Linked DNA regions of Mus musculus. The protein of the gene in region 2 interacts with the protein of the main gene of each other region in a biochemical or structural test. Links are inferred from orthologs where the notes say so. Each region holds a gene or a part of one and is shown on either strand. Other genes may lie near its edges. The genes, in order: Nxf1, Nup98 and Nup88.

What was found.
Region 1: the proteins of Nup98 (region 2) and Nxf1 form a complex in vitro, tested with the Homo sapiens proteins (5 studies listed by BioGRID and IntAct). The link is inferred for Mus musculus from reciprocal best matches to the Homo sapiens genes NUP98 and NXF1.
Region 3: the proteins of Nup98 (region 2) and Nup88 form a complex in vitro, tested with the Homo sapiens proteins (2 studies listed by BioGRID). The link is inferred for Mus musculus from reciprocal best matches to the Homo sapiens genes NUP98 and NUP88.

The regions. Positions count from the first base shown.
Region 1 is NC_000085.6:8,763,595-8,767,244, reverse strand, and holds part of Nxf1 (nuclear RNA export factor 1), read right to left. Parts: coding exon 3,629-3,650; intron 3,549-3,628; coding exon 3,444-3,548; intron 3,330-3,443; coding exon 3,249-3,329; intron 3,166-3,248; coding exon 3,096-3,165; intron 2,985-3,095; coding exon 2,896-2,984; intron 2,747-2,895; coding exon 2,639-2,746; intron 2,324-2,638; coding exon 2,214-2,323; coding exon of another isoform or gene 1,970-2,213; exon of another isoform or gene 449-1,969; coding exon 412-448; intron 166-411; coding exon 97-165; intron 18-96; coding exon 1-17.
Region 2 is NC_000073.6:102,126,582-102,130,231, forward strand, and holds part of Nup98 (nuclear pore complex protein Nup98-Nup96 isoform 1 precursor), read right to left. Parts: intron 3,502-3,650; coding exon 3,235-3,501; intron 2,521-3,234; coding exon 2,363-2,520; intron 1,327-2,362; coding exon 1,183-1,326; intron 12-1,182; coding exon 1-11. UniProt on the Homo sapiens protein: Plays a role in the nuclear pore complex (NPC) assembly and/or maintenance. NUP98 and NUP96 are involved in the bidirectional transport across the NPC. May anchor NUP153 and TPR to the NPC.
Region 3 is NC_000077.6:70,967,239-70,970,988, forward strand, and holds the start of Nup88 (nuclear pore complex protein Nup88), read right to left. Parts: upstream 2,736-3,750; 5' UTR 2,714-2,735; coding exon 2,411-2,713; exon of another isoform or gene 1,849-2,410; intron 780-1,848; coding exon 610-779; intron 1-609. Other genes in the region: Rpain (RPA-interacting protein), read left to right, coding at 3,269-3,349. UniProt on the Homo sapiens protein: Component of nuclear pore complex.

The DNA.
Region 1 (3,650 bases), on a different chromosome or scaffold from region 2:
GTTCCAAAATAGCTTCCCTGAAATCAAACAAGAAATTAAGATCACAGGACCAATATGCTCCCCACTCACAGTTCTAATTCTAACCCCACTTCTGACCTTGCAGGGTGGTAACATTGTAGGGGCTTCGACATCAAAGGAAATTGGAGGGGGTAGCTCATGGCCATCCTGTGAAAAGAAGTGAATGTAATATGAGAAACTGAAGAAAGACTGGATTTGTGAGCATAGAGAAAAGCTAAAAGACACGGAGAGCGTGCAGGGATCCTATATAAACTTTGTCCACAGGCATTTCTAAGATGAAGATTACCACTGTTAGCAGATTCTCAAACAAATCTACACACCCACATTAGTGGTCACAAAATAGAGGCAAGACCTTGGTTGTCCCTGTTCTTGAGAACAAAATGTTAGACTTACCAGGCGTAATAACTTGGGAAATCGTTCGCGAATGGCGCTGTCAAGAACGGGACAGAAGTGAGTGACGCTTCAGAGCCATCATGCCTCCTGGGCTGCTCTAGGAGCAAATACACCAAAAACCCGAGGAACAGCCCATCCCATCCTGCTTATCGCCCACTCCTCCCCAACTTAAACATGGGGACAAGAACCCCCATTCCCCTCCTCACCAGGGGCACCCCCTTCTTAATTGCCTTGAAGGCTGGCTCTGTTGTCTTGCTGCCTGATCCCGAGTGCCACAGGAGGGCACTCTCAGCCCAGGCTTTAAGCCTAGGGCTGCCTTCCCCACCTTGCCCCCCTTACCTTCCACCTACTCACCTGTGCAGCCCCGGGAGGAGGGAATGGGGTTGGAGCCCAGGGGCTCCGCTGCCTCACCAGGTATCCACCAGTTCTGCCAGGTCTGGCCTTCGCCAAGACCAGAACACACCACAAGTATGGCACAGGATGTTGGGGCAAGGAGATGAACAAGACAGGGCTCAAGGAGGAGGAAAGAAAAGAGACCAAGGGAAAGAGAAATGGAGAAAGGTAGGGCAGGAACAAGAGAGAAATGGAGAGACAAAGAGGAAGCAAAGCAACAGGGACAGACCTGAAGGCAGAGGCATTCAGAAAAGAATGGCAGAAAGAAAGACCTCCTGAAACAGCCATTTCCTTCAGCTGCCCTTTTCCTGTGGTCCCAAGGTAGAAATGAAGAATAAATCCTATAATGATTTGCAGTTGCTGTTGGCCAGGTCTCTGTCTGCTCTCTGGGTCCCGGTCTAAGCTGGGCGTGGGAGGTAAAGTAGCCATGGGGCCAGGAAACCTCCCTCAGAAGACATGAGGATTCAGGCCTCTGCCGAGTTGGGGGGGTGAGGGTCTGTGCCCCACCTCAGTTGGCCCCCAAGTTCTCTCCTGATGGCCCCTCTGCGACTGTGCCTGTCTTAGGTTGTTCCTTCCCTGAGGAATCTTACCCGTCTCTGGCTAACCAGCCATCCTCGGGGCCAAGCAGGGTGACTGTGAGGTGTGCGAGTGAGGGAGGGGCTGTGCCCGACAGGGTCATTTCTCTGTCTCCTTGGTAGCAGATGCCCCTGTGGCCTCCACGCCCAGCACTTGCCTTGGGATCCCCCTCGCCTGCTGGCGGGGCCCCGGCTTTGATCACATCTTAGGGAAACCCAGATTTCTTCTCCAGGAAAGGCCCAGTTCACAGCACTGGGCAAGAGAGACCAATAGCATGGTACCAGCCTCCAAGAGGCATCAACATCAGCATGGGCAGAAAGGACCAGGCCACAGCCTTGGCTAAGTGGATCATGAAAATAAAGAGTCCCTCTTGGTACAACGGCAAGAGGGACCATGAAAGGACAAAGGAAGGCCTGTCTCAGTAGACAGCCCCAGTAAGAAAGGACTTTCTCACAGCCTAAGCACACCAGGCTTTTGCTGAAGACAAACACACAGGTAGGGCATATATAAGACACCTCCACATCAGAACAGAAAAGGGGAGGTGCTCTTCCTGGAATAACAGGTAGGGAGATTCTAGAAAAGGCTGTGTTCAAGAAAGAAGGAGAAAGGCCAGAACTAGAGAACAGAAGTCAGGTGAGAAGAAAGAAGAGATCTGGGACAGAGCTAGGAGACAACAGACAGGCAGAAAGGAATACATGATCCTCCTCCCAAAGAACAGGTGGTTCCAGCTCAGGGCTGCATGTTCTCCTGTAGACGGGCACTGGTCAGGGTGCATGAGCTCAGCCTCCCAGGGGTGAATGTCCCCAGGAGGGGAGACAGAGGCTACAACTGACCTGATATAGCTGGACTGGTCTCCGAAGTTGTCACACATGGGGTTTCTGTCAAGCCACAGCTCTTCCAGCTTCAGCCCTTTTATCTTGTCTAATTCCCGCTCAGTCTTCAACTGTGAAGGATGAGGAGAGTAAAAGGGAAGAAACAGACCTTACTAAGAATAGCAGCTGGATTCCCACACTTCTAAATCCTACCTAAGTTTTGTTTCTTGCTTCCCACTATGGCCAGCCACACTCTCCTGGCTCCACCATCACAGAAACACAGCAGGGTCAGTGTGATGGCTTAGTGGGCAGGAGCTCTCACCTCATAAGCATCACAGCCCAAGAACCCACGTAGAAGGAAAGACTCAACTCCCAACACAGTCTGACCTCCACCTCCATAGTCAGTTAACTATTAAAAACAAAAGCACCCTAGATGTCAGTCTTACTTCGTTTCCGGAGAGATTTAGGGTCTTTAGGTTTGGCGCCTTCTGCACAATGCTAGACATATCATCCAGCTTGTATAGCCTGTTGCTGCTCAAGTTCAAAGACAATAGCTAGGAACAGAACAAAGTTTAGATGTGTTACCACGGGGCAAATCTGTATCTCATCCTATCCTACACATCTCACCCTGATTTTTAATGCAAAAATAAATAAATAAATAATTAGTTAATTAAATTAAAATTAAAAAAAAAAAAAGCTTCACCTCAGGAATGTTCTCTTCAATGATCCGCAGGGTGGCTGCCATACAGCTTCTGCGGTTTAGAACAACATCGATGTTCTGGGCCACCAAATCTGTAGCAAATAGAAAGAAAAGGAAGTCTGAGAGGTCTTGCCCATACCAGTGTTATAAAGACCAATTGTTTCCCCTCTCCAATTAGTCAGAACCATTGTTGTCAGTCATACCTGGGTCTGAGCGGAGCCCCTTGAGGTCAAGTGCTTGTTGGTTGCCATCATATCGTTTGCTCATGATCAGCTAGAAGAAGGAAAACGAAGGGTTTAGTCGTCACTGATGGAGATTGAAAGTCTGCTGGACCATGTCACTTGAGCCAGCCTTACCTTGAGCTGCTCTATTTGTTCGGGCTTCAGTTCATTCTGTACAGTGTAGGGTGGAGCAGAAGCATTGATGATGATAGATATCTGAAGAGAAGACAGAAAGGCAGGAACATAATTGAGGGCAGCCTAATCACCAGCACTAAGACTTAGTCCCTTTTAGTGCACCAACTGTGCCATACCAGGCCCTTGTCCACATACCCTTCTGTTTTCTCGATCCTGGATCTTATGGTTGACACCCTTTAATGCAGAAGCAGTAGTGGCATCCTCCACAAAAAAATGGGCCCGTGTATTTTCATAGTGAAACTGGAAGAAGGAAAACAAACAACATTCAATCTGGAGTCCACAGGTCCTTCCACAGCCTTTCAGGTCTAACTCTGTCTTACCTCGATGGGATTGAAGGGGACA
Region 2 (3,650 bases):
TCAGGAGTATTCTGAAAAGGAAGAATTTACAAAAGCATTATAACAGCTCTTTTCAATTAGTAGTATCATGGCTCAATCATTAAGACTCCTGTATAGACAAGCTCTGCCAGCGGCTCTCAGCCTTCCTAATGCGGAAACCCTTTAATCCAGCTCCTCAAGCTGTGGTGACTCTAATCAGGAAGTTATTTTCGTTGCCTTTCATAACTGCTATTTGCTACTGTTATGAATTGTAATGTAAATATCTGTGTTTTCTCATGGTTGTAGGCGACTTCTATGAAAGGGTTGTTTGACTTCTAAAGGGGTCATGACCCACAGGTTGAGGACAGCTATTATATGTAGTCCTGGGTGTCCTGGATCTATTTAGACCAGGCTGGCCTAGAACTCACAGAGCACCACCTGCCTGCAAGCACTCGTAGTAAAGAGGTGCCCCACATCCGGCTCAAAACAACTTTCTAACTTCAATCATAACAAGGGACATGAGATATGTCATTGAAAATTTTCAGCTTAAATGTTAATAAGGGGCAAATTTAACCTGATGTCAGGCTTAAGCAATTCCCAAAGGGATAAGCTAGTCTTAGAAATGAAAAATCACTTCACGTAAAAGTAGAAAAAAATAGTAGAGAATTCATGACTTCTTAAATAGAATAGAAGCAAAGGGTGGGTAGACTGGTGGGGAGGTAGAGGCAGGAAGGGCAGGCAGATTTTTGAGTTCAAGGCTAGTCTGGTCTACAGAATGAGTTCCAAGACAGCATAGGTCTACACAGAAACCATGTCTCAAAGAGTCCCCACAAAGGAAATAAAGAAAAAATAAAAAAATAAAAAGGTACCACCCCCATCCTCTGAAAAGAAAGTTAATGGTAGAAGTTGAAGAGGAGCCCTGTCTCGAGGCAAGCAAGGTAAAGGATAAAGTTCTGAATTTGCTGGGTCTACTTCAATTTTATACTATTTTGAAAGAGGGCAATCAGCAATAAGCATTGTGTTATTTGATGGTTTTTTCCTATGACTTTAGAAAAAAATTTTTTGAGACAGAGTCTCATCATGTAGCCCTAGATGGCCACCTGCCTCTTATCTCCCAAGTGCTGGGATTAAAGGTGTGCCTACCATATCTAGCTTGCAGGACTTCTCTGGAAAGACAAAGCACCTACTAGAGTTCTCACTTGGCTCTTCTGAATACACACACACCTGAAATGCTTCTTCATACATGCTGAGAGCCCTGGAAATGGAGGCGGTTGGCGGAAGCAAATACCAAAGATGGATAGCAAGTGTTCGTTTCCAATCTAGCTGGGAGCAAACATTGATTTGTTTCTGCTCTGAGAGCTGCCACACCTGCAGGAGACAAGAACATTACCATGTCAACTTTAGGTTGCCTTGGTTACTACTGCCTGTCTATAAGCTGTTCACTTATATTAGCCTTGAACCAAGAGATCCTCCTGCCTCTGCTGAGATTAAAGGAGTATGCCACCACACCCAGTCTTAATGTTATGGCTTCGATGTGAAATCTCTCCTCCCATTTTCTTGCCATAATCAGTATGAGAAGGACATACAGACACAAGAGATAATCAAAGAGTAAACAGCAAAAACTGGATTAAAATAATTACTCCATTTTGGTAAAATGAAAAGCTGTGGCTATTAAAAACTGTGCAAATATGAACTTATACATCAATATAGATTTTAAAATGTCTGAGAAGACATAATTATACATTGTTTACTATGTAAATATTACTGACATAGGATAGACTTTTTGTATGTGAGCACATGCATGCCATGGTGTATGAAGATCAGCAGAATTTGTTAGAGGTGGTTACAGGGCATGACTGACCAGGTTTCAGGCTGGACAGCAAGTGAGTTTCTTTACCTGCCCCAATCTTATTTGCCAGCCCCAATATTATTTCAAGTTTATATTAATTAATAAAGTATTTTAGGCCAGTGAGATGGCTGAATGGGTAAAGCCTGAGGACCTGTTTGACTCCCAAGACCCACTAGGTAGGAGAGAATCAACTCTGGCATGTTATCCTTTGTTCTTCATACACATGCCAGAGGGTACACACACGTGCTTGAGAGCAAGTGTGCAAAAACACAAACAAATGTAATAATTTTTTTTCTAAAAATTCTTTTTTTGAGACAGGGTTTCCTAAGTAGCCCTGGCTATCCTGGACCTCTCTAGACTAGGTTTGTCTTGAACTTGGTCTAGATCTCACAGAGATCCACCTGAATATTATCTCCCAAGTGCTAGGACTAAAGGAGTATGCCAGCATGCCCAACTAACTGACACTAGGTTGAAAATATTTCTACCTAGAAATAAGGCCAAACTGTCAGTTATATTAATAGTCTAAGATTTATAAGAAAATTAGTATGACATTACCGGTTTTCCAGCCAACAGGGCAAATATGCGCAATCGCTCATCGTGGATGAAGGAGTCAGCCTGGAGCTGATGCCAATCGGCCAACTGCATGGTGAGCAGCTCCCGGACTGACTGGCTTCCCACCAACTGAGACAGAAGAAGGGCAAGGCGATGATCACCTATAAGAGAAACACAAGTTTTCTCATGAGGTCTAAGGATCTACAGACCTAATGAAACACAGGCTATCACCATCTTCTTCCAGGTTTGGGAGGAAAGACTCAGTTCATCAGTTGTCAAAGGAATACGCCAATGTTATACATTAAAACACTGCTGAAACTGGGCAGTGGTGGCACACACCTTTAATCCTGGCATCTGTGAGGCAGAAGCAGGTGGATCTCAGTCTGTTTCTCCTACAGGGGTTCTGTCCTGGCCCAGCTTTTTTTCAGGGAGCTATCTTTGACAAGCAAGGATACTCACCACTATACTATGAGGACAACCTGGACAGCAACTTTGAACCATTTGCATGTAACATGTTGTCCTATATGCATATATCTGTGCATACTCTATGCATTATTATAAGGATAACCACCTAAGTACAGATCACACATTTAAATGTTTATAGTGACTAAGTCTTAGAATTTGGGTGATTTTTGTCCTATTGCTTTCTACTTATCTGCATTTTTTGATTTTTATTACAAATGCACATAAGAAGATCAACAAAATTTTAATTAAATAAATAATATTTAAGGTTCCAGAGAATTGTTTAGGAAAACAAGACATGGTCTCTAGAGGAACCAATAATCTTACTTAGATATATTTAGAAGGCAAATTACAATTGAGAGGCAGGGGTAGTGTGGAGAAGTAGGTAGTGGTAGAGAGAATCTCATTCCTACCTGACTGCTGTGCCAGACAACAGGCCTCACTAATCCTACTGCCCGTGAGGTAGCTGAAGACAGCCTCTACGGGACTGTCTCTGCGGGTTAAGGAGACTTCCTCTTCAATCTGAGGTGCAGCGGTATGTGACAGCCAGCGGGAAAAAGCTCTTCTACGCTCCAGAGTCTGAATGTATTCGCTGGGCTCATCCAGCTGGCCGTCAAGCTCCTTCAGGTGGCCCCATAGGGCTTCACATAATGTCCATGTCAGGCTCCAGTGCTTCACAACTAAGAAAGTACAAAAACCAATGATTTAAGGTTTGGCAGTACCTCTTGAGAGGCCATCATTAACGGTGGTGCAAAATATATCAGCACAAAAACCATTCATTTAAGTTTGCCAGCTCATTTCTCCCAATTTGTTCATCTCAATGTATAAG
Region 3 (3,750 bases), on a different chromosome or scaffold from region 2:
GCTCTTGACTCTAGCTGCATATGTATCAAAAGATGGCCTAGTCGGCCATCACTGGAAAGAGAGGCCCATTGGACATGCAAACTTTATATGCCCCAGTACAGGGGAACACCAGGGCCAAAAAGTGGGAATGGGTGGGTAGGGGAGTTGGGGGGGAGGGTATGGGGGACTTTTGGGATAGCATCGGAAATGTAATTGAGGAAAATACCTAATTAAAAAAAATTTAAAATCCAAAAAAAAAATTAACACAGTATTCTTCAAAAATAACAGCAGGGACTGGGAAGGTGGCTCAGGAGTTTAGAGCACCTGCCGCTTTTGCAGAGGATCCAACATTGGCTCCTAGCAACCTCGTAGCAGCTAAACTCTAACTCCAGTTTAGGAGATTTGACACTCTCTTCTTGCTGTCCAGGCACACAAGCACTGCACTTACTAAATGAAGGCAAACCACTCATACATGTTTAAAAAAGAACGGACAACAATAGTACCACAGGAAGTCAGTGTGCAGGACCATACAAATGCTCAAATGTTTCAATAGTGGCCCCTAAATACATTTCAACCATTTTGGGTCTTAGCAACTTACACAGATAAATACTAAATGAAAATACAACTTACCTACAATTCACAGTTGCTTTTCCACCTTCAAATTCAGAGTCCTTCCCCCACCTCTGAGGTAATTCTAATGCCATAAGTCCTTTACTTCCGATAAGTGCTACATGATGTTGGGTTGGACTCAACAAGACTTGATGGATTTCAAACAAGGGTGGATTAATGCAGAGTAATCTCTGAAAGTAAAACCATTTAGTAAAAATAGTTAATTTTAATATAAATTTATTTCAGAGTTGCTTGAAACCATAATCACGTTTTAAATTTCTAAAGTTATAAATAGCATTCTGAGCATGTACTAACTGTGTCATTAGCTGATTATTCCCCAAGAAATAATCTCTAGGTTCTTGATAGATGACAACACCTAAAAGCACTTGCTGCCCTTGCAAAAGACCTGAGTTTGGTTCCCAGCACCCATATTCTTGGGGCTCATTCATATTCATATTCTCTCTCTCTCTCTCTCTCACCAAACACACACACAAACTGAAAATAAAAACCACAGGGCTACTCTTCCAGAGGACCTGGGTTCAATTCCCAGCCCCCGCACGGTGGCTCTGTAGCATCTGTGTGCACCAGGCACATAGATGTTATATGCAGCACTCATTTGCAGGAAAACATACATACCCAGAAAATTTAAAAACAAAAACTTAAAAAAAAAAAAAAAAAAAGGGAGAAATTACCCCTGATCTTGCGGCCAGGGAACAAAGGCATGTTTTCTGTAGTTCCACACCACAGCTCTGGGTAATACCACAGGTCTTAAACATTCTAAACTTTCCCTGACATAACCCAGTAGGCGCTACTTGAGATTTTTCTTCTGTGTTCCTGGCCTCAAGCAGACTCTTGATACCCAGTAAATACATAAACTCGGAAGTATCAACAGATTACCATCTTATAACTGTACTGTAGAGAAAGGAAGAGCTTCAGGCCAAGTGTAAAGGTTCACGCCTTTATTCCCAGCACCAGATAAGGTGCAGGTGGCTCTGTTTGAGCTCCAGGTCACCCAAGGTCACAGGTAAGGCCCTAGATTACCTTCAAGCGCCTTGCAGCAAGCAGTACTGCTTCATCTACGTGGACTTAATATAAAAGAGTGATAGTTTAAGGGAGTTTCAATAATTTGTCATAGCATCATATAGCCTCAAAAATACTCTCACCCTGGTACTTCCTATTTCTTTTCTCATGACCATTTTAGATTTCTAATTTCTTTTTATTATTCGTAAATAATGATGAGACCATCAATATATTATTTACCTTAGTATGGAGAATTATACTAAGCCAAAAATCCTTTTAAATAAGGATTTCTTTTGAATATAATAATATTTCTAATTGCTTTTAAATCTGTAGGCCCATGTCTTTAAATGCCTGTTGTAGAACTGGGCAGTGGCAGCACATGGCTTAATCCTAGCTCTGATCAGGATCCTCCAGATCTCTGTTAATGAGGTCAGCCTGCTCTACAGAGTGCGTTCCAGAACAACCAGGGCTGTTAACCCTGTCTCAACAAACCCCTCCACCCCCACCGAAGCAAATCACAGATATTACGGAGCTTGTGCATGCTCTAGGTTTATGTCAGGTGCTGGACACACACACAGGCCTAGCCTCTGTTTTGGTGTTTATAAATGACTTAGACCCGTAATCTCAACACTCAGAGACTGGGGCAGGAGTTCCTGGCTAGCCTGGGCTACATAGTGATTCCAGACCAGATTGAGCTACAAAGCGGGGTCATTCCACTCGAAGTGGGGCGTTCCCAAAAGACGCCAGCCCAGGTCCGCCAACGAACCAAAAGGCTGATTGCTTTCACGATGGACCGGCGCACCTGATACTGGGAGAGAGGAGGCTCCACGCCACCACCGCTGGGGCCTCGAAGGCGAACCACCAAGAAGGCGCTGCCTTCTGCGTCCCACAGAAACAGTTCCCCTCCGAGGCCGAAGACCAGGTTTCTCGTCGGCAAATGCGGCGGCAGAGACGGGCACGAGGGTGAAGTCGAAGCCGCTGGCTTCTCCGCTTCGGCTGGACTCTGGTTTCTTACGCCCTCGCGGAGCCGCAAGAACACGACGTGGTTAGGAAGCCAGCTCTGCCACAGCTCCCCATCGCCCAAGGGCCCCACGGCAGCCGCCATCTTGAACTAACAGCTCAGGATTGAGGGGCGGGAGGAAACGAAGCCCGCTGCTGTGCGTAGCCAATCCGCGGCCAGCACTTCACAGCTTCAGCCTATCAAAGTGTAGGAATCTCGAGAAGTTGGCCCAATAAGAAAGAATCGCTAGAGGATAGACAGGGCCGCGGGTTGAAGCCAAGGTGGGCGGGGCGGGGCGGGGCGGAGTGGAGTGTAAGGATCGCTTTGGGGCTGCTGCTGGGCCAGTGAGGGGGTAGCGTTAAGGATGAGAGATGTGTGTCTGATTGTCTACTGGACAACTTCCTCTGGGTAAACCCAGAACTTTCTCTCAAGATTCACCTCCCTCAGCCCGGGTGGTGTTTACTTCTCAACTGTCACTGCTTCATCTATCCTCGGATTCCCCTAAATCTGTCACTGTGAGGGGATAGAAACTAGATACAATTCCAAGAAAGCCCGGCGGCCTGAAGTACAGACAGACTGCGCCGAGACTACAACTTCCAGAATCCTTTGCGCGCGGCTAAGGGGCGGTGATTTGGGCGCTGTTTCCCGCTAAGGGAGGAGATGGCAGAGTCCTCGGGGTCTCCGCACCGCTTGTTGTACAAGCAGGTGGGCTCGCCCCACTGGAAAGAAACTTTCAGGCAGGTGAGTGTGAAGTTTGGGTTGTCATCACTTCCCTAATCTTCCCAAGGACCTCTGTCCTCGGTGTGCTCGCTTCAGCACTGGTTGTGGAGCAGGTGCCCGGTGTGCCTGGCCAGCGAGGTGGATCTCTTGCTATAGGATTGGGTCCCGGCCGCCGCCCGGGCTGTTGGCCGGCGTAGGTGTTATGCTATCCTAGGATTCGACTTTGTTTCATATTTTAAGAGTCATGACAGCAGTAGCAACACCACCACCTAACGTTCGGTTACAGAGGGAAGCACTCCGTATGTATACGTCACGTGAGATAGAAGTTATTTCTCTCCTGAAGAACATCAGACACGGTTAGGAGAGTTGAACTTAAGCTCCGCCTTCTTCCGAACTCAAGTAGTTCCTTCTAAGAAGCAGCT